Linked DNA regions of Oryzias latipes. The main gene of each other region encodes a partner of the protein of the gene in region 5 in a complex. Links are inferred from orthologs where the notes say so. Each region holds a gene or a part of one and is shown on either strand. Other genes may lie near its edges.

The links.
Region 1: mettl14 (region 5) and wtap share a complex: the UniProt entries of both Homo sapiens proteins name them as parts of the WMM complex. The link is inferred for Oryzias latipes from reciprocal best matches to the Homo sapiens genes METTL14 and WTAP.
Region 2: mettl14 (region 5) and rbm15 share a complex: the UniProt entries of both Homo sapiens proteins name them as parts of the WMM complex. The link is inferred for Oryzias latipes from reciprocal best matches to the Homo sapiens genes METTL14 and RBM15.
Region 3: mettl14 (region 5) and cbll1 share a complex: the UniProt entries of both Homo sapiens proteins name them as parts of the WMM complex. The link is inferred for Oryzias latipes from reciprocal best matches to the Homo sapiens genes METTL14 and CBLL1.
Region 4: mettl14 (region 5) and zinc finger CCCH domain-containing protein 13 share a complex: the UniProt entries of both Homo sapiens proteins name them as parts of the WMM complex. The link is inferred for Oryzias latipes from reciprocal best matches to the Homo sapiens genes METTL14 and ZC3H13.
Region 6: mettl14 (region 5) and rbm15b share a complex: the UniProt entries of both Homo sapiens proteins name them as parts of the WMM complex. The link is inferred for Oryzias latipes from reciprocal best matches to the Homo sapiens genes METTL14 and RBM15B.

What each region holds. Positions count from the first base shown.
Region 1 is NC_019882.2:7,325,451-7,329,526, reverse strand, and holds the start of wtap (pre-mRNA-splicing regulator WTAP), read left to right. Parts: upstream 1-1,276; 5' UTR 1,277-1,359; exon of another isoform or gene 1,360-1,496; intron 1,497-1,549; exon of another isoform or gene 1,550-1,626; intron 1,627-2,037; 5' UTR 2,038-2,045; coding exon 2,046-2,075; intron 2,076-2,177; coding exon 2,178-2,233; intron 2,234-2,306; coding exon 2,307-2,365; intron 2,366-2,460; coding exon 2,461-2,588; intron 2,589-3,921; coding exon 3,922-4,076. Other genes in the region: sod2 (superoxide dismutase [Mn], mitochondrial), read right to left, coding at 1-3, 351-379. UniProt on the Homo sapiens protein: Associated component of the WMM complex, a complex that mediates N6-methyladenosine (m6A) methylation of RNAs, a modification that plays a role in the efficiency of mRNA splicing and RNA processing.
Region 2 is NC_019865.2:10,859,931-10,863,925, forward strand, and holds the start of rbm15 (putative RNA-binding protein 15), read left to right. Parts: upstream 1-1,195; 5' UTR 1,196-1,359; coding exon 1,360-3,897; 3' UTR 3,898-3,995. UniProt on the Homo sapiens protein: RNA-binding protein that acts as a key regulator of N6-methyladenosine (m6A) methylation of RNAs, thereby regulating different processes, such as hematopoietic cell homeostasis, alternative splicing of mRNAs and X chromosome inactivation mediated by Xist RNA.
Region 3 is NC_019881.2:9,398,203-9,402,410, reverse strand, and holds the start of cbll1 (E3 ubiquitin-protein ligase Hakai), read right to left. Parts: upstream 2,801-4,208; 5' UTR 2,709-2,800; coding exon 2,696-2,708; intron 931-2,695; coding exon 763-930; intron 153-762; coding exon 46-152; intron 1-45. UniProt on the Homo sapiens protein: E3 ubiquitin-protein ligase that mediates ubiquitination of several tyrosine-phosphorylated Src substrates, including CDH1, CTTN and DOK1. Targets CDH1 for endocytosis and degradation.
Region 4 is NC_019860.2:22,021,527-22,025,026, reverse strand, and holds part of zinc finger CCCH domain-containing protein 13, read left to right. Parts: coding exon 1-124; intron 125-310; coding exon 311-511; intron 512-607; coding exon 608-775; intron 776-866; coding exon 867-1,210; intron 1,211-1,304; coding exon 1,305-1,730; intron 1,731-1,818; coding exon 1,819-2,064; intron 2,065-2,737; coding exon 2,738-3,161; intron 3,162-3,500. UniProt on the Homo sapiens protein: Associated component of the WMM complex, a complex that mediates N6-methyladenosine (m6A) methylation of RNAs, a modification that plays a role in the efficiency of mRNA splicing and RNA processing.
Region 5 is NC_019859.2:14,173,343-14,177,559, reverse strand, and holds the start of mettl14 (N6-adenosine-methyltransferase non-catalytic subunit), read right to left. Parts: upstream 2,801-4,217; 5' UTR 2,404-2,800; coding exon 2,338-2,403; intron 2,108-2,337; coding exon 2,019-2,107; intron 1,774-2,018; coding exon 1,686-1,773; intron 1-1,685. UniProt on the Homo sapiens protein: The METTL3-METTL14 heterodimer forms a N6-methyltransferase complex that methylates adenosine residues at the N(6) position of some mRNAs and regulates the circadian clock, differentiation of embryonic stem cells and cortical neurogenesis.
Region 6 is NC_019863.2:6,227,229-6,231,505, reverse strand, and holds the start of rbm15b (putative RNA-binding protein 15B), read right to left. Parts: upstream 2,801-4,277; 5' UTR 2,242-2,800; coding exon 1-2,241. UniProt on the Homo sapiens protein: RNA-binding protein that acts as a key regulator of N6-methyladenosine (m6A) methylation of RNAs, thereby regulating different processes, such as alternative splicing of mRNAs and X chromosome inactivation mediated by Xist RNA.

The DNA.
Region 1 (4,076 bases), on a different chromosome or scaffold from region 5:
CAACTGAGAAGGGGGAGAAAAGGCAAAAAACTCAACATCGTTGTGGCAAATAACCTTTTTTTAGCTTGTGATTTTAGCTCAACAAGCCAGTGACATTTACCAACCAATTAAAGTAAGAAATAGAAAACATGAACGAATTTGTACATGCAATAATACTTAAACGCTTACACTATACTAAGAGTTGTTTTCGTTGTACGTCACAAGTTTTTAACTAAGCAGCTAAACCAGATTAGCATTGAAGTTAGCTAACAGTTAGCACAACAAAGCAAACAGTTTTCCACGCTGCTGATACAAGTATTTTCTTTTAGTTTTTGAACTTTACATAAAAATATAACGTAGACACATCTTACCTGCGCATTTGCCAGACTTTGCAAAGCATGTTTGCTTAAAGGTTAGAGAGCCAAGAAAAGTGAAAACAAGGCGGTATTACTGCCCTTGAAATGGGCAATTTCAACTTGACAGCGGAGTCGACCGTACCATTATCAGAATATGGGGATGTTATCGAAAATGGCTTAAATTCATATAAGCTTGAAAGGCAATATATACTATTTTTATATATATTTATAAGATAATAATTATATTTTCGGCAATTCAATTGCAACCAACGTCATCTTTTAAATTTTGAGATTTATTTCTCGGTCTTACCACTTTTCCTTAGCCCTGTCTTTTGGTAGATACCGAAGATTTATTGTAACATGGGGCCACATGTGTGCGAAAAAAATTTTTTTAAGCCCTTTTCGTTTATTGTACTCAAAATTTAATCATATTAAACTATACAATATTTGTAAGGTTGAAAATTTGTAACAACTTTGCGTCACGATTAAAAAATAACTATGTAACCATTGGAATCACGTGGTCTTTGCGTCACTGTGTTGAAATGGATACCAAAGATCGTCTATATCTACAACGAACCACTCTACATAATTTAAATGCGATCTGTTGTGATTGTAAATTTTGTGATCAAAGTAAATCCAGTTTTTTGGTTTGCAATGCAAAAAAGATGAAAAGACGCGTAAGGTTATGTCACATCAGCAAGGAAATAAATTAATTTCCCTTTCTTAGTCATTACAACATTTGAGAATAGTATTGGGTCAACAGCTTTGGATCGTTTTCTTTAGATAAACTAATAATGTAATACATCGCAAACCCAGAAACATTCAAGGAAAAACACAGAACTAAATGCAGTTTTAAATCTTAAAACATTTGATCACAACCATTTTGATTGTCCGGAATTTTAGGATCGGAAAATGTGAGCGTAGTGAGCAGACTTTTCTCTCCTGTCCACTGCTGGTATTACTCCGCAGAAACTCAAGTGCAGTGCAGCACCTCATCCTCCAGAGCCGTCCTGTTCTTCTCTCGGTAAAGGGGATGATTCTGAACACTTAAAGACGAGGCCACAACTTTTAATCAACCACCACTCTTTACGCATTTAAAAACAGTTACAGAGAATCTGTAAACCTCGAAGGTTTTTCGAAACATTGAAGCGAACGGGCCCGGTGAGTGTTATGATCGCGTAGGCCGCGTGACTGCAGCTAAGAGCCCGCTAGTTTCAGGAAAAGAAGCGCAGGGGTGGGAGTCATTTCCTTCACCGCCATTTTGTTATAACAAGAAGCCGAACATAGCTAAGTAATTATACACTTGATGCTTAGATAAACGACACGTTGAAAGATAACATCGCAGGTCTCTAAAATGTGTTTACGTCGCCGAAATGCTAAACGATTATTAGCAGTGAGGGGTTAACCTTGAGTACTTTTTAAAGGAAACCCTCCGCCGCTGACTGCAACAGTCGTTAGTAGTACTCGGCACGACATACCCTATTATCGGGTTATGTTCACTTTAGTTTCGCGGGTTTGTTGAATATAGCAATGGCAGTTCACTGTTGACACTTCAGTTTTGTCGGGAAGGCCCGTTTATAATAATTTTTGAGGGCGTCTGTGATCAAACGTGACGTCTAATATTTAACTGCGTGACGGCCAGCGCGAGGACAGGATGCCCAACAAAAAAAATAACACGTTTTCTGCTTATTTTCATTCCTAGAGAGCACAATGACCAACGAAGAACCTCTGCCCAAGAAGGTGAGTCTGATCCAGATTAAAACTACTCTTTAAGGGTGCTGTTGGTTGGTAATGGATGTCTAAGCAGCTTTTTGTTTATTCTATTTTTATTTTATTTTACAGGTTCGCCTCACTGAATCTGATTTGAAGACCTTGACCAGAGAGGAGCTGTGTACACGGTAAACAACAGCCCCTGTCCCCTCCTGTCTTCTGATGATGTTGAGCTGTTTACATGGATCTCATTCTCCTCAGGTGGAAGCAGCATGAATCATATGTCCAGGTCTTGGAGACTAAATATGCAGAGCTGTGTTGTAAGTTCACTTAAAAAATAGATCTAGCCCGTTGCATCGCAGAGTGTCGGCTGATGAGTTTGTTTCTCTTCCCTCCCATCATCCACCCCCCTCAGCCAACGACGTCCCGGGCCTGAAGGAGTCTGAGGAAAAGCTAAAGCAGCAGCAGCAGGAGTCGGCTCGGAGGGAAAACATCCTGGTCATGCGACTTGCCACCAAGGAGCAGGAGATGCAGGAGTGCACAGTAAGTCTCTCGCTCAGGTTTTTAATATGCAACACTAAAAAGATGAGTTGTTCTAAAGTTGCAGCACCTGGAAGAAATATTTAATGCTTTCTGTATCGTTACAGTATAATTTCTAAACATTTTTCTGCCTTTATTAGATAGAAAGTTTGAAGATAAAATGTTAAAAGCATAAGAATCACTAAAAAAACTTGACAAACCTGAAAGCATCTGTCTTTAGGGGATAAAAACACCAAAATATTAGATTCTTTTTAATTAATATTTCTTTTCAAATTGCCTACAAGGTGGGGGTTGTTTTTTATTTTGGAGTCTATCAATTTACCAAGACACATGTTAAGGATTTATAAATTGCATGAAAGGGAATGTGTGTTAATGAGAACACATCTTGGTTTGTAATCATTCTAGATGAGAACAAGTTGTGGTGGTTTGCAAGCTTTTACATCCAAATATTTAAAGTATTTTCTTTCTTATCACTTTTTAGATGTGGATACTGAATCGCCTGTTTGCTATTTTAAAACGACACTAGAGTGAAAGCAGCTTTTACTTAAAGCCTCGGATGAAAATTGTGTTTTTGACATGTTCTTGTGGGGTTTTTCTAATGGAAGAGGACATATTTAAAGACAGTTAGGCTTAAAGTTGCATTTCTAAGTATTTCTTTATTCAAATCATGAATCAGGAGTGGTTGGTAAAATTCTGCTACATAGGAAAATAGACTGATCTCTGATCTGCTGCATTCTGATCCATCCACTTGTAGGCAGATCCACGTGCGTCTTTGTTTTCCTCGCCTGAGCTGGCATCAGGCTCAGAACTCGTCTGGAAGGCTCCAGTATTGCTCACGATTTTTGTTGCGCTGGTAATGTTAGGTTGAGTCTGTGAAGGGCTGTAAGCTAGCAGGAGAGAGCGATAACAAATGGGTGGAGAAGCAGAGGCAAATTTCTAACGAACAACTGCCTTTCTGCAGAAAATATGTCCTTTAAAATAAAGATATTTTTTACATAATTTTTTTCTACAATTACTTTGTTTTTATATTCTATTTCCTTTTAAGATTACAATGCTATTGTAACACACAAATTTCCCATGTGTGGGATCAATAAAGTGATTCTGATTCTAAAAACAACATAAGCGTAATTACAAGACCACTGGGAAAGTTTTTAAAATCACTCAAAAGAGGATCGAAGTGGGACTTAAAACTAAGCGTCTAGACGCAGATTAGCCTAGATTTTGATCTATTTGAAAGCAGTTTTGTTACATTTTTAAAGGGAAGATGTTTAGGTGTTAAAAGCAGCTTCATAATGTGTGTGACTGGACTCTAACACCTGCCTGTTGCCTCCTACAGACACAGATCCAGTACCTGAAGCAAGTCCAGCAGCCGAGTGCAGCCCAGCTGCGGTCGTCCATGGTGGATCCAGCCATCAACTTGTTTTTCCTCAAAATGAAGGCTGAACTGGAACAGACTAAAGACAAACTGGAGCAGGCCCAAAATGAACTGAG
Region 2 (3,995 bases), on a different chromosome or scaffold from region 5:
AAAAATGAATAAAAATTTTAAATCATACTTCCAGTTTCACTACTTTCTGGACACTTGCAAAGAGGCTTCCGATTTAGAAAATAAATCATATGGAACATGTCCATGTGTTTTTGTTTGTATCTTTTAATATTCAGTTAATATGTTGATATTTGGGTCATTCCAGAACTGGAGGACATTTGGGCTGCAAAATTCATGAAGAGCAAACTTTGACTTTTCTAATTCTCTGCTATATAATCGTCAATAAAAGGTAATATCTGTCAAAGGCTTGATTAACTTTGCTTACAGATCAACTGCGAAATATTTATGACATTATATTGATGATGACAAGACTTGATGCAACCTTGTTATCAATTTTTGCAAGTAACAGGGTTGCAAACATGTATTAATATTGACTTTCTCTCAGGAGTAGACGCTAGTTGTTTAGCTGTCACTGAGTACCAATAAGAAAATTAATGTGATTTCAATGGCATGCCTTTTTGCATTTCTGACCACCCCAGAATGAATGGTGATATCTTGTTTTTCTCAGTTGCTACTTTACATGCTAATTTGATTGCTTACTTACTCATAAAAAAGCAACAACAATAACAATAATTGTCTTACTCTGATTATAGGGAAACAGGGTTGCATGAGGCGGAGTGAGACATTCAATCTAGGATAACTATGTGTTAAAAATAAAAGATCCACGTAACTTTTGCTCTACCCATTCTTTTTGAATACTGTTTGATGATGTCAAGTCCAGCATATCACTCTTTGCTATATTCTAACCCTCTTACCTGTTATGGTAAAAGGAATTGTGTGGATTCGGTGGGAAACACATTGTATTGATCATAAATAATATTTGAAATACTTCTTTTATTTAAAAAAATCCCACGGTTACATAAAACACCAATCAAAACAAGATATACCAAAAACTGAATCTAAAATTTAATTTTAACTGCTTTTATTGAAGATTTAATTTGGACAATGGGGGACGGGACAAGAAAAAATGCATTTTAGGGGGTACATTGAGCTTATTTGGCATTTTTTAAATTATTTTCAGTAATTATTTTCACTTAGTTTTGCATGTGGATTATTTAAAATAGGTTTATTCTGAAATGACCCATTTTTTAATCCATCGCTGTGTGCGTGATTGACGGGATTTTAAAAGGTTTTAACCAATCGCCGCCCCCCAAACACCGGCCAATCAGCGCATGGAGGCGGGTCTTCTCACAAATCTTAACAAAATGGCGACTGTTGTTGTTTTGCCGCAGGGTCGGTAAATAAATTCTTTGAACGTATTGGATATTTTCTACATTATTTTGTGGAAGGAGTGCAGGAAAAAGCCAGTTACCACAAAGAGTTTACTCTTCGTGGGCTGCAATGAAAGGAAAGGAGCGGTCGCCGATTAAAAAACGGTCCCGGGCCTTGGACGACATTCGAGAGAGGGGAGGATGCCACCCGACCAGCAAGAAAATGGGGGCTCTCTCCGTTTCCAGTGGGAGTAATAATGGAAACAGTTCGTCCAAAAGCGACAGCGGCTCAACGAGACGGAGCTTGTTGGGTGAGAAAAGGGACAGAGATTTTGAGGGCCATAGTCGGACTGGAAATAATCACAGCTGTCAGTCTGCTGCTTCCAGCTCCGTGGGTAAAAACCACAACCTGAGCCTGTCGCTAGACCTAGCCTCCCCGCGAGCCTCTTCGCGCGCGGAGCAGCGTGTTCCGCCGCCCAGCACCGAGAGTGAGTACAAAACACTCAAAATCAGCGACCTTGGGAATCAGCTGAGCGAGGAGGATATAGAAGATGGGCTTTTTCATGAATTCAAAAAGTTTGGCGACGTGAGCGTCAAAATTAGTCGCAGCAACGACGAACGGATTGCTTTCGTTAACTTCAGGAAGCCGGAGGACGCCAGGGCTGCTAAACACGCCAGAGGCCGGCTCGTGCTCTACGACCGGCCGCTGAAGATCGAGGCCGTTTACACGAGCAGGAGGAGAAGCCGCTCCCCCGTGGAGAGGGACTTGTACAGCGCAGCACAAAGTCACAGACACTTGCAGAGACCCCTGTCGCCCACCGGCCTGGGTTACAGAGACTACCGGCTGCAGCAGCTGGCTTTGGGACGGCTCCCTCCTCCCCCTCCGCCCCCTCTGCCCAGAGAACTGGACCGGGACAGAGAGTTCGCCCTGTTTGAAGCCAGGGCACGTCCAGCTTTCCTTGCAGAGCGAGCAGCTTTTCGTGAAGAGGATTTAATATCTCCGGAAGACGACCAAAGAGCAAACAGGACTTTGTTTTTAGGCAACTTGGACATAAACATTGCAGAAGCAGACCTCAGGCGGGCTTTCGACAGGTTTGGAGTCATAACAGAGGTGGACATCAAGAGACCATCACGAGGACAGACCAGCACATATGGATTTCTTAAGTTTGAGAACCTTGACATGGCTCATCGTGCTAAGCTTAGCATGTCTGGAAAAATAGTGGGTCGCAACCCTATAAAAATCGGTTACGGAAAAGCAACACCCACGACCCGTTTGTGGGTCGGTGGACTTGGACCGTGGGTTCCTTTAGCTGCCCTGGCCAGAGAATTTGATCGCTTTGGCACTATAAGGACCATTGACTACAGAAAAGGTGACACTTGGGCCTACATCCAGTATGAAAGTTTAGATGCTGCTCAAGCAGCATGGACACACATGAGAGGCTTTCCGCTGGGAGGCCCAGAGAGAAGACTTCGGGTGGATTTCGCAGACACTGAGCACCGGTACCAGCAGCAGTTCTTGCAGCCTCTCCCTATTCCACCGTTTGACATGGTGGCTGACTCGTTTGTCCACCGCGCCACGCCTGAACCTCTGAGAGTCAGAGATCGGACTCCACCTCCACTTCACTTCAGGGACAGAGAACTCTTTCCAGCAACGGAGTGGCCCAACCCGGCCATTCGTGAGCGGGTCCGGGGATCCCCCTTTGAGCCTCTGGAACATTTGGAACGCGACCGGAGAACTCGAGAGCCTTGGTCTTTGGAGCGTGAGCTGCAAGGGCGAGAACCAGGACGTAAGAGACGCTTATTGGAGGATGGCCGTCACCTAGATCACTCTCCTGACAGCACTGAGAGGACAGTGAGACGTAGACGTTCTTCTCCAGATGGCAGTCCTGGGGGCAGCAGCAGAGACGGAGGACGTTTCAGTGACTCTGAGCATCCTGTGCACAGTGAAACGGCCTCACCAGCCAGAGAACATGTCATTAGCCTTGAAAGAGGTGGGGCGGATCGAAGGGTTAAAAGCCAGAGTCTTTCTGAGAAAGGACTCTCATCTGCTGGTGAGCGGAAACGCAAAGCGGGCGACAGTGGCAAAGTGCCTGCCAAGAGAGAACGCTCTGAAAGCAGCTCTAAAGGAGCCCAGCAATCCAAACCTGATGGCACCAAACTCATTGTGGCATGGCGCGGAATGCTGCTCCTGAAGAACAGCAACTTTCCAGCCAGCATGCATCTCCTAGAAGGTGACTACGGCGTCGCCAGCGACCTGCTCATCGACGGCTCAACCGGAAGGCAGGTGAGCGAGCTAAAGATCACGCAGCGTCTCCGTCTGGACCAGCCAAAGCTTGATGAGGTGTCTCGGCGCATCAAAGTCGCCGGTCCAGGCGGCTACGCCATCCTGTTGGCAGTTCCTGGAAGCACAGAGGACTCCTCTTCATCTGATCCTATGGCCTCAACCCAGCGGCCCCTTCGCAACCTGGTGTCCTACCTCAACCAAAAACAAGCAGCTGGGGTCATCAGTCTGCCTGTGGGAGGGAGCAGAGATAAAGACAACACAGGGGTTCTTCATGCTTTCCCCCCCTGTGATTTCTCTCAGCAATTCCTGGATTCCTCTGCAAAAGCTCTGGCAAAAAGCGAAGAAGACTATCTGGTCATGATTGTGGTTCGTGGAGCATCTTAAAAAAAAAAAAAGAGAAAAAGTCACAATGCACTATGTTCAAGTGGAATATAAGAAAAAACAAGTCTGCTGTTTGTCAGTAATTATTGCATGCTGTGTTC
Region 3 (4,208 bases), on a different chromosome or scaffold from region 5:
CATGACACTGTCAGCAAAGTGAAACCGTCTTTATAGCCACCATACCTTACAGTCCCATAACAGAGGCTGCGGAAATCTTCTCTGACTTCCAAACACATCCCCAGCTTTAGCGCCACAGTCAAACCGATCCTCCTGCTTGAAGCCGAACTTTTCTGAGAAAGCCAGAGAATAACACAAAGATGCTAAAAAAGCCCACAACACCCACAGGGTGCAGTCCTCAGCTCAACCCCAGAAAAGTGCGGTAACATTTTTTAAAAAATTGTTAAATTGATTAAAACTAAATAATAATTATAAAGTTATTTAAAGATATGATAGATTATTGTAGGATAAACACATCAAGATTGACATGCAAGCAATGTAAGTCAGGTCAAGTCACAAGAGAGCAGCCTCATTAGGGCGGCTGTTGGGCAGTGGTAGGGAGGTCGACCTCCGAGCAGAAGATTACGGGTTCGATTCCCGCCTTGGCCCGTCCATGTATCGAAGTGTCCCTGGGCAAGACACTGGTGGAAGGTTCAGCATCAGAGCCACCACCAGTGTGTGAATGTGTGTGAATGGGGCCTTGACTAAAGCGCTTTGGGCCTTCAAAGAAAAGCATTATACAAGTATAAGTATTTACCATTTACCATGATATTATCGGATCAAAAAAGGCAACACTGAAAGCAGCTCAGTTTCGACACAGAAAACCACAATTAAGTGGTACTACTACTCTGTGCTAAAAAAAAAAAGGGTAAAAATGCAGGTTGAACTGTGCCCGATGCCTACCATCGTCTCCAGGTTCACTTTTACAGGGTCTGTTACCAACAGGTCTCGGCAGGCGCAGCTGAGGTTTAGTCCTTAATGGCTGTTTAGAAATTAATTTGATGGGGATTCGCCTCCGAACATCCAGGCCACCCAAGGTCCCAGAGCAATCGCTTCCTTGAAGATCGTTGTCTGTTGACAAAAGCATAAATAACATAAATCGCCGATTTTGTTTTGAAAATCACAGAGTAAAACACAACATATGAATATCACAAATATCAACTTTGCACGCTTTGCTTTTGTGTTTTCATGAATTTAATTCATTTATTTTTGGCTCAATTTTATTTTTACAAGTTGAAATAAATAAGAGGGTGCGACTTTATGAAGAATTGCAGAAATGCTTTAGAATTAAGAAGTTCTGTCCCATTAATCAACTGAGAACTGCTGCTAGCAGAGTTGGAATACTGAAATAAAGCGGGATATTGTGTTTTTGGTGATTTTTATCCTTCTGCTTCCTGTGTGTATTGTTCTATTTCACATTTAAAATCTTAATTTGTGGACAAACTTTAGTAATTTAATTTCTAAACCTAACTGGCAGATATCCTTACACAAAAAACCCCAGACAAAATGGAAAGGATTTTAAAAGCCCTATATCTTGCTATGCTTCCAGAGTAAACTATATTTATATATAAAAATGTATTACCTTTGGCACACTAAAGAACCATTTTTTAAATTAAATAGGAGTTATTTTCGCAGCTCATTTTCCAAGCCGAAAGTAAGATGACTTGATCTCTGAGGCCCACCTTTCTCTTCTTGTTGGTGCTGCCCATTTCATGACGTCACACGTTTCACCCACAGAAACAAACATCCAAACTTTTGCAAAGATGGATGTGAATATCATGCATAGAAAATGAAAACGTTTAGCTGATCCCTGCTAGCTTGTGTGGCCGTGTGTGTTAGCCTGGGGGCGGTGCTGGCAGCACAGACTCTTCCTGGAAGGGGCTGTTCTCACTTTGTGATGTGAGGACCCACGCGTTTTACATGGATTGGGAGGGGCTTTGAGGACCCAGAGATGTGTGAGTGGATCAAAACACCGCCTTGGGGTTGTTTTGTGAGGAATGAACATTATAATACACTTAAAAGCTCATCAAGTTGATTTGCATGATATGGGCCCTTTAATTTTGAAAAACAAACAAACAAAAACATTTTACCCTACATTCGTAAGCCTCTGTGATTCAGTTATTCAGTTCCCTTTTGAGTAATTTGTGCTTCATTAATGCTACATAGCCAGTTTCAAATGTGCCCTTCATGAAGACGATCAGATCACGTGATAAAAACACTGCCCTTTCCATCTGACTAGGATTTATTTTTGACAAATTCATGTAATATTCGTAAAACTTCAAAGTTAGCTTTCCTTTTTAATCAAGTTATTGGTGCTACAAACTTAGATTAATTCAGCCCCAAATCACCGAACAACCAAAATAAAAAAAGCTATATAGGACGCAAATGTGCTTAACTGAACCACGGACTCTTTGAAAAGTTTAGCCGCCGCAGCCGCTGGCAGTAGCACAGGCTAACACACTCGAGCATCGGTTCACCAACTCAGTCACTACTTTTACAATAACTTCCGTTTAAAAAACGGATAGCTAATGATAGAAGTCAAGCCCCAAATACGTCTATGGTGCAACAACCTGCTAACCAGATAAAAGAAAACATTTCAGCTTTCACGGACTAACGTGCGTTTTTTTTTTACCCCCGAACATTTCTGAGCTAGCTTATTTCATGCTAGCTTTAACGGTATCGAACGAGGTTCAAAGTAAAAATGAACAGAAAACAGCGCTTTTGACCACCCAAACAGCTGCTAAAACAGAGACTATGGTGCTGCAGTAAAGTGTGTGAAATAGAAAGGAAGAAAGAACATAGCTACGGTAGGCCAAACTAAGCATTTTTTGCTTACCGCTTTGGTCCATGATCCATCTAGCGAGCGCAATGCATGTTGGGATAAAAAAAGAACTAGGAAGTGAAAGATAAGGAAAGGAAACAAGTGAACAAGATAGGATTTTAAAAGTTTAAATGTTTAAAAGTGCTCCACAGCTGGTTTAAGAGCAGCATGTCTCCATCTTTTATGTTTGCTTCTCAACTGGTATAAACCATTCCCTCAATTATGTCTAAACCATGTTATCCTATTCTTATATGCTTTTGACCTGTTCATTGTTTTATGATCATTGTTTTTATTCAGTATATTTTATTTTTTACTAGTATTTGTTACTTTTTTCATCAGTAGTGCGGTATTCCTCTAAACTTTGTGAAGTACACATCTAAAGAGAATTTAATTCCACTGACTGTTACTATTGTATACTATTTAATTCAACATATGATCCATCAGAGTGAACTTTCAAAAGGTTTTGAGAAAACATGAGGCTTTTTAAAACCAAGCGTGATTGTGACCATCCAAATTTACTGACGATCAAACAAAAACTGCTATAGAAATATCTCACTTTAGTATTTTTACTTGTAAGATTAAATAAACTGCTATGAAGTAACAACAAATAACCCTCACAATTTAACTGAAGCAAACCCATTCCCTGTACATACTAAATGCTGGGTTTTATAAACCCTTAGCAAGCAGGGTTGTTAACATCTGGAACAGGTGTACTTCGCCCAAAAGAAACTGCAATGCCAGGCTAGTTGGAAAACATGCAGGACACCCAACCACCCCCAGGGCCTGGACTTTGAGGTCAAATGTAGAAAAACATTTAAAAAACATGCAGCTTATAGATAGATAGATAGATAGATAGATAGATAGATAGATAGATAGATAGATAGATAGATAGATAGATAGATAGATAGATAGATAGATAGATAGATAGATAGATAGATAGATAGATAGATAGATAGATAGATAGATAGATAGATAGATAGATAGATAGATAGATAGATAGATAGATAGATAGATAGATAGATAGATAGATAGATAGATAGATAGATAGATAGATAGATAGATAGATAGATAGATATAAACTTTATTAATCTCCCAAAGGAGAAATTCAGGTGTCCGGTAGCAAAACACACAACCACACACAACAAACAACAGTAAAAAGACAGTTCACAAAATAATATCAGTTCATATCAGGCAGGTTCATTAAACAGCCTGATAGCTGTAGGGACAAATAAGTTCTTAAAGCGCTCTGTCCTGCAGCGCAGTGAAAGGAGTCTATTACTCCGTGTGCTCCTCTGACCTGACATCGTGTTGTGCAAAGGATGTCTGGGATTGTCCAGGATGCTCTGAGTCAAAGCCCTCATTCTCTTCTGGAGCACAGATCCCAGAGAGTCCACCCTCCTCCCGATCACAGATGCACATCTCTTAATCAGTTTGTCCAATCGAGTGCAATCCCTCGTGGTCATACTGCCACCCCAGCAGACAACCCCATGGAAGACAGCACTCGCCACAACCGACTGATAAAGAGGAG
Region 4 (3,500 bases), on a different chromosome or scaffold from region 5:
CCAAAGATTCACCTTCATCCAGAAGGTCCAGCTCCCCGAAGCACAAAAGTGGAACCAAAGGTGCCGGGTCCAGCAAGAAGGAGAAGAAAGCCTCTCTGACTTTGGCTGTTTCAGAAACTGCAAGGTATTTTGGAGCGACACGATTTAAATGGAAATCTACAGAAATGCTTCCAATGTCTCAATACGGACGTTTCCTGTCTTAAATCCTGCTGTGGGGATTTTTTTGTGTCGTATTTGGTCATTTTTGCACCTCAGTTTATCCGCCCACGTCTGTTTTTGTGTGGTCTAAGACGTTTTTGTGATCCATCAGGCCCTCCAAAGGCAGCCACAGTAAGAAGAAGGGCCCCCGCACGCCCAGCCCTCCCCCTCCTGTCCCGCTCGACCTCCCCGTCGTTGGGAAGAAGCACAAAGGGAAGCACAAGAACAAGGAGAAGACGGAAGAGAAGCAGAAGGAGGGAAAAGACCGCGGAAGAGATGTGGAGAAGCACAAAGAGAAAAAGGAAAAACGACGGTACAGTTCAGCCGTTTGAAGTGTTTTAGCTCGTTTAGCCGACTCTCATCAAACTGTTGCTTTTCCTTCTTCTCTGTTGATGCTACATTTTTTTAGGGACCGATCCGATAGTTCCCATAAGGCCAAACGAGTGCAGACGTCAGATGAGCGGTCCAGCAGCGTGTCGTCCCCCTCTAGAGGCGTGTCCCCCTCATCCAGGAAGAAATCCGTCTCCCCCAAAGTTTCCTCCCATAAGACTTTGTCCCTTTCGTCTCCTCGCCGCAGGTTTGCTTCATAACCGTGATGATCTTTTCTTTGTTTTAAACGCTATAACTGATGAGTTATATATATAAATATATATTTTTCCTCATCCCAGGTCTCCTTCCTCCTCCCGACACCAGCGTTCTCCCTCTCCCTCCCGCCACCACTCCCCCTCCTCCCACTCGGGGTCTTCTGCCCAGCGCCACTCTCCATCGCCTCGACGCCGCCGCTCGCCATCTCCGGTTTACCACCGGAGCTCCGCGGCGCACGCCTCCGTCTCCTCGCCCACGAGTTCCCGTCGCTCCCGGTCCCCACCAGCCTCCCATGACACCCCCCCATCTCACCGGCGTTCGGAGAGATCCACCCCGAGCCGGCACCACTCCAGGGGCAGAGAGAGGAGCCGGGGGGAAAGGGAGAGAACTCCACCCCCCCAGGAGCGCAGACATGAACACAGAGAAGGTATCTTTCGTTTTGTTTTTTCAGAAAATCGTTCTTATAGCTATCATTTTATGGGAAATTGATCAGATTTTTCTTTTATTTGTTTTTTTTTCAGATCGCGGCAAGCGGGACAAAGATGGCGTCCGTGAAGACAGAGACTACGACTCCGAGCTGATCGCAGCCCGAGAGGAAAGGGAGTCGAGGGACGCTCGTGACCGGCGCGATGTCCGCGATCGGGGGAGGGAACCGGTGCGAGAGTCCCGCGACAGTCGCGACAACAGGGACACGAAGGACTCCAGGGACAGCAGGGGGGACGGGCGCTCCAGTCGGGAGTCACTGGAACGGCGGGATCGAGAGCGGGAGCGAGAGAAGGAACGGGACAAGGAGAGGGAGAGGAACGACTCCTACAGGAAGGAGGATGCAGGTCAGGACGACAGACTCTACGCTAGAGGTCACGGACGCGATGACGGCGGCAGAAGCGAGGGTAGGACGGACCGAAATGGACGAGGAAGAGGCCGTCCAAATGAAACGGTTGACAAAGGTGAGACATGTTTGTGATGAAGTGTTGTTTTTTTTTTTGGTTCAGTCGTGGCTCCCGCTCTGAATATCCTCCGCTGTCGTCTTCTCAGGCTCACTCAGAAACTCCCGCAGTTCCCAAATGGACAGCAGCTACGACAACTGGGAGTCCCGGAGCAGCGCCGCGCGGGACCGAAGCCTGGAGAGAGGCGCAGACCGCAGCACGACCGAAAGAACCTCCGAGAGGGTTCCGGACCGGGATCGCTACGAGGGGGAGAGGCGGGAGCAGCCCCGAGACTCCTCCTACGACAGGAGGGGGGGCCACGGCGAGCGGGACCGCAGAGACACCCGGGACAGAGGTGAGACGACGGAGGACAATTTGTTTATTGGGGCCGCAAAAGCAGATTCCTGTTCACAAACCTAAAGACAACCTGATTTTAATCTATGATCAATTCTGCAACTCTCACCTGACAAGTCAAGATCCTAACAATCACTTTAATTAAACCTAACGTCCTTTATAAATTATTTTTATTTATTTACTTATGGGTAAACCAGAAAAGTCTTTTAAATAGACCTTTTTCTTAGAGATGGCAAAATAAAGGCTTGTTCCTCAGAAAAAATTAATTAACATTTGAAGAGTTCAACTTAATGTATGTTTTGTATTTCATAAAAAAACATTTTCTTTTTTTTATTTTATTTAAAGAAGGGTAAAACCTTTTTTATTGAGTTAGAGGGTGAACACAACGGCAAAAAGTGTGACGTTCTAATTTGTATTGATATTTTAAAGGAGGTAATTTATCGATAGAAATTAAAGATTTGTGTAAAATTTTTAGTTGTGAGTTTAAATCCAAGCTTTTTTATTTTATTATTTATCCTTCTCAAAATAATAAAATTTAAAAAAGTAGGAGTCTGCTGCTGGCCATCATGCAGAATGCAGCCTTACATTGACTTTCCTTTTTCTTTTTTCATCTTTAAATGTAATTATCCAGTTTGTATCATTTGTAACTTTACACGTTTCTCTTTTTCCTGCAGATCAAAGGGCCGTCTCTCCCTCCAGATATCCAGGCAGGTCGGAAGAGTCCGACCGGGACGATCGACGGACAGACCGGTCGGAGGACAGACGGGACGACCGGGCCCGAGAGCGGGAAAGAGAGAGGGAGAGGGAGAGAGAGAAGGAGAAGGAGCGAGAGAGGGAGAGAGAGAGGGAAAAGGAGCGGGAGAAGGAGAGGGAGGCAGAGAGGGAGCGAGCTCGGGAGCGAGAACGCGAGAGAGAGCGTGAGGAGAGGGAGAGGGAGCGAGAGAGGAAGGAGAGGGAGAGAGAGAGGGAGCAAAGGGAGCGAGAGAGGCAGCGGGAGTGGGAGGAACGGGAGAGGGGGAGGGAGGAGAGGCGGGAGAGGAGAGACGACGTCCGGGAGGATCGGTCCGTTCGAGACACCCGGGAGGATCGCAAGCTGAGGTATGTGTGGATGCCAGATCTCTGAAATGCAGCACGGAGTCACCATTTATGATAATTAGCAGAAAATTAGGAGAAAAATTGCTTTACATTGGACAAAGAAAAGATTATATATTTAAAAGGTGAACATTTCATGACAATAAAGGTGTAAAATTAAAGAGAGAGTCAAAGTTTATGAGAATAAAATTGTGAAGTTATAAGAAAAAGTCTAAATTTTTATAAAAGTACAATTATTTTTTAAAAAAAAGGACATTTTACGAAAACAAACAGACAAATATGAGAAAAGGTTACAAAATAAAGTTGTGATAAATAAATAGTCGTACAATTATAAGAAAAAAAGGC
Region 5 (4,217 bases):
ATCACTTGATTATCAGATTTTCTGACCAGCAAAGACCTGCTGTTCTGCTTTTAAATAGTCCAACTCCACTCTGCTCATAATTCTAAATTATTGGCACCTGTTTGAGGTGGTTAGCTTCCATAAAGGCACCTGTGCCCCCCACAATCAGTCAGAAGTCTAACTACCAACATGGGCAAAACCAAAGAGCTGTCAAAAGAAACGAGACAAAATTGTAGACCTTCACAAAGCTGGAAATGGCTATGGGGCAATTGCCAAGCAGCTTGGTGAGAAAAGAACAACTGTTGGAGCAATTGTCAGAAAATGGAAGAGGCTAATGATGACTGACAATGTCCCTCGGACTGAGGCCCCTTGCAAGATCTCACCTCATGGGGTATCGATGATGCTAAGGAAGGTGAAGAATCAGCCCAGGACTAAAGGGGAGGAGCTGGTCAATGACCCGAAGAGAGCTGGGACCACCGTTTCCAAGGCTACTATAAGTAATACATTAAAACGTCATGGTTTAAAATCATGTATCGCACGGAAGGTTCCCCTGCTGAAGTCAGCCCATGTCAAGGCCCGTCTGAAGTTTGCCAATGACCATCTTGATGAGCCAGAGGAGTCATGGGAAAAAGTCTTGTGGTCAGATGAGACCAAAATAAAACTTTATTGATCTTAACTCCATTCGGCGTGTTTGGAGGAGGAAGAAGGAGGAGCATCATCCCAAGAACACCATACCTACAGTGAAGCACGGGGGTGGAAGCATCATGCTCTGGGGGTGTTTTTCTGCAGAGGGGACAGGACGACTGCACTGTATTAAGGAGAGGATGAACGTGGCTCTGTATTGTGATATATTGGGCAAAAACCTCCTTACCTCAGTCAGAGCGTTGAAGATGGGTCGTGGCTGGGTCTTTCAGCAGGACAATGACCCGAAGCACACAGCCAAGAAAACCAAGGAGTGGCTCCGTAAGAAGCATATCAAGGTTCTGGAGTGGCTTAGCCAGTCTCCAGACCTAAATCCAATAGAGAATCTTTGGAGGGAGCTGAAACGCCGTGTGTCTCAGCAACAGCCCCGAACCCTGACAGATCTAGAGAAGATCTGTATGGAGGAGTGGGCCAAAATCCCTGCTGCAGTGTGTAGAAACCTAGTGAAGAACTACAAGAACCGTTTAACCTCTGTAATTGTTAACAAAGGCTTCTGTACCAAATATTAAAGTTGTTTAACTCAAGTGATCAAATACTTATTTGTCACAGTAATATACAAATAAATTGTTTAAAAAAATTGTACAACGTGATTTCTGAATATTTCCTCAGATTCTGTCTCTCACTGTGGAAATGCACCCATGATGAAGATTTTAGACCCCTCCATCTTTTCTTAGTGGGAGAACTTGATAAATCACAGGGTGATCAAATACTTATTGACCTCACTGTATATAATTCCACATGTGTTAATTCATAGTTGTGATGCCTTCAGTTTGAATCTACAATTTTCATAGTCATGACAATAAAGAAAACTCTTTGAATGAGAAGATCTGTCCAAACTTTTGGTCTGTACTGTATGTATGTATGTACACTTGCTATATATAAAAAAATGAATAAACAAAGTAAACATGACTGAATTAAGAACTATAGACCTAAGCTGGAGAGCAGACGTTCTATGCATGTGCAGGTTCGCAGTAGTGGTAACAGTCAGAAAACGTAGTGCTCACTTTCTGTTCCTCCACATCCTCCTCTGTGTCCTCTCCTTCTGTCGGCTGCTTCCTTTTGGAAGAGGGGAGCAGGCTGTCATATGAAGCCCTGCACAACACAAATATTTATGATTTGTTTCAACATCCCTGCATCAGCATGCACAAAGATCAATGCACAACTTTAAGGGATGGAGAAAGTGATTTTTATCCAGAACTACATCTGGATTCTAACAAACTAGTCACATAGCATAGTTTCTGACTGATTAGCCATTAGCTACAGACTATGTTTCTCTAACCGGCTCCATACAAATATTATTGGGGTTTTGTATTTTCCGTGGATGAATGTTGTGCTACCTGCAAGTTTCTCTGGTTTCCTCGATCTCCTTTAATTCATCCTTGCTGTGAAGGACAGCTCCAATGCTGTCAGCGCTTTCTGCCCCCAACTGTGGGAGTATATTGAAGAATCAGACTGTTTTTGAGGACAACAATGCAAGCAAGCAATGCCAAATGCGTAGCTAACTCATAATTAACCATTATGGAGATGTAAACACTATTAGAAGAGTGATTCAGAGTGGATACAAATATAGAAAGTGTGTTTCTTCGACTTAAACTATGATTATGTTAGCTGACTGTAGCTGTTTGCTATAACAACAGCGACTCTGTGTGTACTTGCCTGTTGGGCTAACAGTTGCCGCCTTAGTTTTTGCCTCTCGCGGATCTCTTGCAGCCTACTGTTCATATTTCCCCTCGTGGCAATTTGTCACAGAAGATTAAAAACCGCGTGGGTTTGTTTTTATTCGGAATAGATTAAGTATTTCATTTAGCATGGAAAGCAACATGCAAGCAGTAGCTAGCTGGCTCTCAGAGAGAAAGCCGCTAAAATATATTTAAAGGGTACGCTCGATATTAACCTCGTCACATCCGAACCAAGTTGAGTTTGTCTAAGTCGTAACGGACGTTGGTGAAATTTTATTTATTTTGTAATGTCGGTGCTCAATTGTAGCTAATTTACCTTAAACCTTTAATATAAATGAATTAAGCTGTAGCGTTGAGCGCATACAGACATTGAAATGCACGAGAACCGGAGCACGCCGGTGAATTTACGATTTAGCAAAATTGTAACTGGTCGCGTAATGATGGCGTCATCTTCAGAACGCATGTGTTTGACGTTTAGAGTTTGCACAACAAGCTGGTGCAGCATTCTATGATCCACTGTGATCTTTTTCCCCATCTGAGGCCTTTATATGGATCATATTGATTAGCTAAGCATGCCCCTATAATTAACCAGGGTATATCATTTTTTTAAATCAAAGATTAATATATAAGAACTTATAACCTTTTCTGAAAAACGTTTTTAATGGTGTTTGTGGAGGGGTGCAGCGAAGGGGGTAGGCTAGGAAATCCGATATGGCCACTCGTGGAATACCATTGGCTACCTTTGCCCCGAGATATATACATTACTGATGGATGTTCAAATCCATCAAGCTATGCTTTTTCCAAATGTGGACTAACACTCACATACTGGTTCAGGGTATTTTTAATTTACGATCAGGACCAGCTTTACCCTTTATTCTCATTTAATTTTTTCAGGGGTTGCTTCAGTAGGCTAAATCACCCACCTCTATTCTACCAAGACTAACACACCAACTACTCTCCATTATTTCTGTGGACCTCCTCTTGATCTGCCCTTAAGCCTCATTCCTGCCAGCTCTAACATCAGCATCCTTGAAAGGATGCTGAATACATCTACACATTCACAATCTGGCTTCCCTGCATTTATCTCCAAATGATCCTACATGAGTTGTTCCTTTGATGGATTTATCCACGATCATCCATCTTCATCACTCCTAAAGAGAACCTCAACATCTTCATCCCTAACACATCCAGCTCTCTTGACTTTCTCAGTGCCCCTAACTGTAGAATACATTGCCATTTCCATTCAATTTTCAATTAAACACAATATTTGTAATCAGAACAGTCAACCAATGAAAGATCTTTTTAAGGGTAAGCCTATATGAAATAAATATTTATAAATTGGAAAATAAAAATCAATAACGTGATTTTTGAATTGACATACAAAATATTAATTGATCATTCAGAATTACAGTAGTAATATATTTCAACTTCAAAATATGTTTTTTGTTGTTGTTGAAAGCTTGGATTATTGAGCATTTTGGATGTTTCAAATTCATACATTTTTTTTAAATTAGTGATGGAACATTTTCATTCTAAAAAACGATTTTAATTGCCACTGATACCCAATTTCTGTAAAATCTGCAGCCAAAATGGAGAAAAAAAAGGAGAAATAGCTATAAAAAGACTCACTTTGTGTGTACAATTTAATTAAATTTATTGAAAAACTTCAACTGAGCATTAGAATTTTTAGAACCTGTGCATTTACCATTTTAACCACCTAGTCTTTATCAAGATTTTCTAAGACAATGCAACCCAGTTTAGCCATCCCAGTAAAAAAAATACAAATAAATAATAATAATGATAAATGAATGGGAAAAATAGGTCCGGCACGTGTCACTGTCATTGTGGGGCTTGGAG
Region 6 (4,277 bases), on a different chromosome or scaffold from region 5:
GATGGCGCCCTGCAGAGCCAGCAGGATGGCAAAGCCGTCAGGGCGGCCGAGCTTGATGCGGCGCGACACCTCGTCCAGCCGGGTCTGGTCCATGCGCAGGCGCTGGGCAATTTTCAACTGGCTTGGCTGGTTCCGGTTCTGCAGATTCAGGCTGTCCTTCAAAACGCCGCTCAGGAAGGAGGCCCCTCCCTCCAGCATGTACAGCTCCGTGGGGAAGCTGCTGTTCTTCAAGGCAAAGAAGCCCTGCCACACCTTGGTGAGGGAGCCCTGGGCGTACTCCGACAGCGAGCTCAGGGTGGACGAGGTGTCCGTGTGGGCAGCGGGGGGGCTGGCGGCGGCCACGTCGCTGTTTCGATGGTGGTTGTTGACGCTCGCGGACCTCTTGCTGTGGTGACGGCTGGATGGGGGCTCTTCCTCTGTGGCATTTGCGTGTCGCCCCCCTCCACCACTGTCAGGGGAGTGGTCTCTTGGCTCAGTGGTGGAGTCCGGGGCTCGAACCCGTGCTCGGTCTGGGCTTGCATCAGGGGAGGCGGTGCCTCCCGGAACTCGAACCCTCGACCTTCCCTTTTCTTTCTCCTTTTCCTCCGACTGCTTGTCGACAGACAGACTTCTGCTTCTCCTGCGGCTCCTCCTCTCCTCCCTCTCCTTCAGCCAGCGTTCCCTGCTCCTGCTGCGGCTCCTCGCCCCTCGGCCAGCTCTTCCAAACGCCTCCACTCCTCCCACCCTCCTGTCCAGGCTTCGGGTGGGGCTGCTGGGAAACTCTCTCTCCAGCAGGACCCTCTCTCTCAAAGAGAGGAGGCTGTGGGAGGGCGGTGAGGAGCGCTCCCTGGTTCCTCTCAGCTCGCGCTCCAGGCTGCGATGGCGACTGTAGGCCTCTCCAAGGAGGTCATAATGCGTGGGGGGAGGCACAGGAAGCTGGTAACCAGGGGGAAATGGGCGGGAGGGGCTCTCCTCCACTTTAGCAAAGTCCACCCTGAGGCGGCGCTCTGGCCCGCCCAGAGGAAAGCCCCTCATCTGGGTACAGGCGGCCTGGGCTGCATCCAAACTTTCATACTGGATGTAAGCAAAGCTGTCGCCCTTCACATAGTCAATGTTCCTAATGCTTCCAAAGCGGTCAAATTCCCGCGCCAGAGCGGTCAGCGAGTTTCCTGGTCCCAGACCGCCCACCCACAGTCGGGTGGTGGGGTTGGCTTTGCCGTATCCGATTTTAATTGGGTTTCCACCAATAAGACGGCCCTGCATGGCCACTTTGGCCCTGTGGGCCATGTCAAGGTTCTGAAACTTTACAAAGGCATAAGCCCCGCCCTGGCCGCGTGCTGGCCGTTTGATGACCACGTCCTCAATGATGCCGTATTTATCAAACCCTCTCCTGAGTTCAGCCTCCGTCACATTCCCGTCCAGGTTTCCGATGAACAGGTTGCTGGTGGCCCTCTGGTCATCCTCGGGCTTCAGGTCCTCCACTACAGGCATGGGGGGGAACGCGTAGGGCCGCCCCCTCTCATCCAGCATACCATAATAGTCCAGCAGCCTTTCCCGGTCTCTGCTCAGACCCAGGCTCTCCAGCGCAAAGTGTCTGGCCCGGAGGTCCCGCATGCTGCTCACGCCGGTCCCGGGTGGGGACAAGGAGCGCTGTCTGTACGGATAGGGGGCGTGTAAAGGTAGATAGCTGACGTCCGGGGGGGTGACGCTCCGCCTCCTAACGTACATGGGCTCTATTTTGAGCTGTCTATCACCCAGAGCCAGCCGGGAGGACTTGGCGTGCCGGGCCTCCTTGGCGTCCTCCGGCTGTCTGAAATTGACGTAGGCGATGCGGCCGAGCTCCGGCGTGTGCGACAGCTTCACGCTCACGTCCCCGAACTTTTTGAATTCGTGGAACAGCGCGTCCTCGACGTCCTCGTCCGACACCTGCGAGCCCAGGTTGCTGATGAGCAGCGTTTTGTACTCCAGCGTGCCGGGTCTCGCGGCGGGGAGCTCCGCGGCCCGCAGCGGCGGCCGGCCCAGGAGGCTGAGCTCGTGTCGGTGGTGGAGCTCCAGCGCGGCCGCGCGCTCCTCCCGAAGGCGCGGCTTCTCCCGCTCCCTGCTGCGGCTCCGCCGGTGGTAGCTCCGGCTCTCCGCCAGCAGCAGAGCCAGCGGCGGCGGCGGCGGCAGCTCCTCTCTGCGGGCGCTCTCCCGTTCTCTCTCTCGAATCCGCTTGGCTAGGGCCCTGGATGGGCTGCCGTCTCTCACGGCCTGCCGCTTCATTTTCCAATAATGATGGAGAGTTTCAACTTTTTTTCCGAGCCTGCAGCGGAGATCCGGCGCTGCTGCGGATTCCGGGAGCGTTAGCTCGGAGACGGCGGCGGCGCAGGCTGCTTCGGTTAGGGGGCGCTTCCAGAGCGGGCTCCGAGTGGTCACACATTTACGGGGAAAAGAGGAGAAGCCTTTAAAAACATGTCAGCATCACAAGAGCTGCACCAGCGCCGCCATCTTGGACAATAGGAATGTGCGCGTTCCCAAAGGAGGGCGGAGCCTGTAGTGACGCAAGCACGTTGCACGTTTTGATTTGAAAACTCCTGCATACCAAATTGTCCTTGTTTATTAGGTTTATCCATTTTTCAAAGGAAATCAAAATAACACAGCAAGCAGATGATACTGCATTATTCTTAATAGACAGAAACCACATTGACCTTGATACAAGTATAATTAATTATTTTTCAAACGCTTCTGGATTACGTCAATAGAGATTACGTCTTAGTTTAGTTAAATGTCAAATATTATTAAAAAGTTAACCCTCGTGCTAACCTATGACCCCACCCTTGCATTGACGTGTTCTTCCTACCATGACAAAGGTGGATAAAGGTGGAAAGATTTCATGTAATCCATGGACACCAGTGAAGATCACAAATCATTGAAGAAAAAAGGTTCAGAGCACTGTCTAGTGGGTCTAGATGACCCAACTCCCAATGTTAAAGTGCCTAGGATAGCACAAAGGTTAAAATGGTTAAAGAAAAACATGGTATCCCTGTTAAAAATGTAGTTACATATTTAGGCACCAGTATAACAATGGACAGAAAATCTAGACAAACACAAAACTTCTCCTTGAGAATTAGAAAAAATGCAAGATGTCATGAATATGTGGCTTCAAATAGATCTATCTATTTTTGGCGGGATCCTCTTGGCTAAAGCGAAAGGTATCTCAAGAGAAATTTCTCCTAATCTATCCTTATCTTTACTTCTGTTCAACTTCCAAAGAAATAAACAACCTCTTAGTTAACTTTGTATGGAAAAATAGACGTCACTATCTTCAGAAAGAACTATTTTATGCCCCCTCATGCAAAGGAGGTTATGAACTCCTACATTTCTCAGATTTGAATTATACATTTAATGGTTACTGGATTCAAAAAGGCCTTTAAGACTCAAAATCAATTTGGTACTTTATCCCATTTAATATTTTATAATAAAATCGGGGGTCTTCAATTTCTTTTTAAATGTAAATATCAGAAAGACTCCTGTCAATCTTTAAAATTTGTATCTGCAAGTTTTGTCGTGCCTGGACGTTATGCTATGCACATTATTTCTCACCAAACAAAAGTATAACTTGGAACAATGATGATATAACCATCAAAAATTTGATCTTTTTGATGAGAATGGCAGCCATCGATTATGACAGGTTCTTCAATAAAATGTGTTTTCCAGTAACAAGCAAAGAATTCAAGAGTGTAATGAAAGCTCTTGTCTCAGGAGTAATTCAACTACTGACTTCTAACCTTAAATATCACGAGGAATCTGAAATACACCCTCCTTTAACACTTAATGGTATTGATATTTTCAATCAAAAAATTGCAACAACAAACACATAATACTTTTAGCGAAAAAAGAAGCATAACACCTAAAGGAGAAATTTATTGGAACCATATTTTAAATTATATCAATTGGAAAAAAAGCATGGTTACTGCCAGATACATTTTGAATAAACAATAAAGTTAAAGAAATACATAAAAGAATTTCAAATAACATTTACCCCACAAATATGTTCATTTCTAAATTCTAAAGATAGATAGAAAATAACTGTAGTTTTACTTAAATCAGTTCATCACCTTTTCTACTGTTGTACATCCTTTCACTTCTGGATCCGTTTAGAACAATTTAAAGAAACAAAGTAAACTAATACATTTCAAACAAATTCTACACATTTTAACTTTGGTGATAAAATGGTAGAAAACGTTATTAATTTGTTGCTTCTCCTACCTAAATTTTTCATACAAAAGGGCAAAGTAAGAGAAAAAAAACTCCCAAAT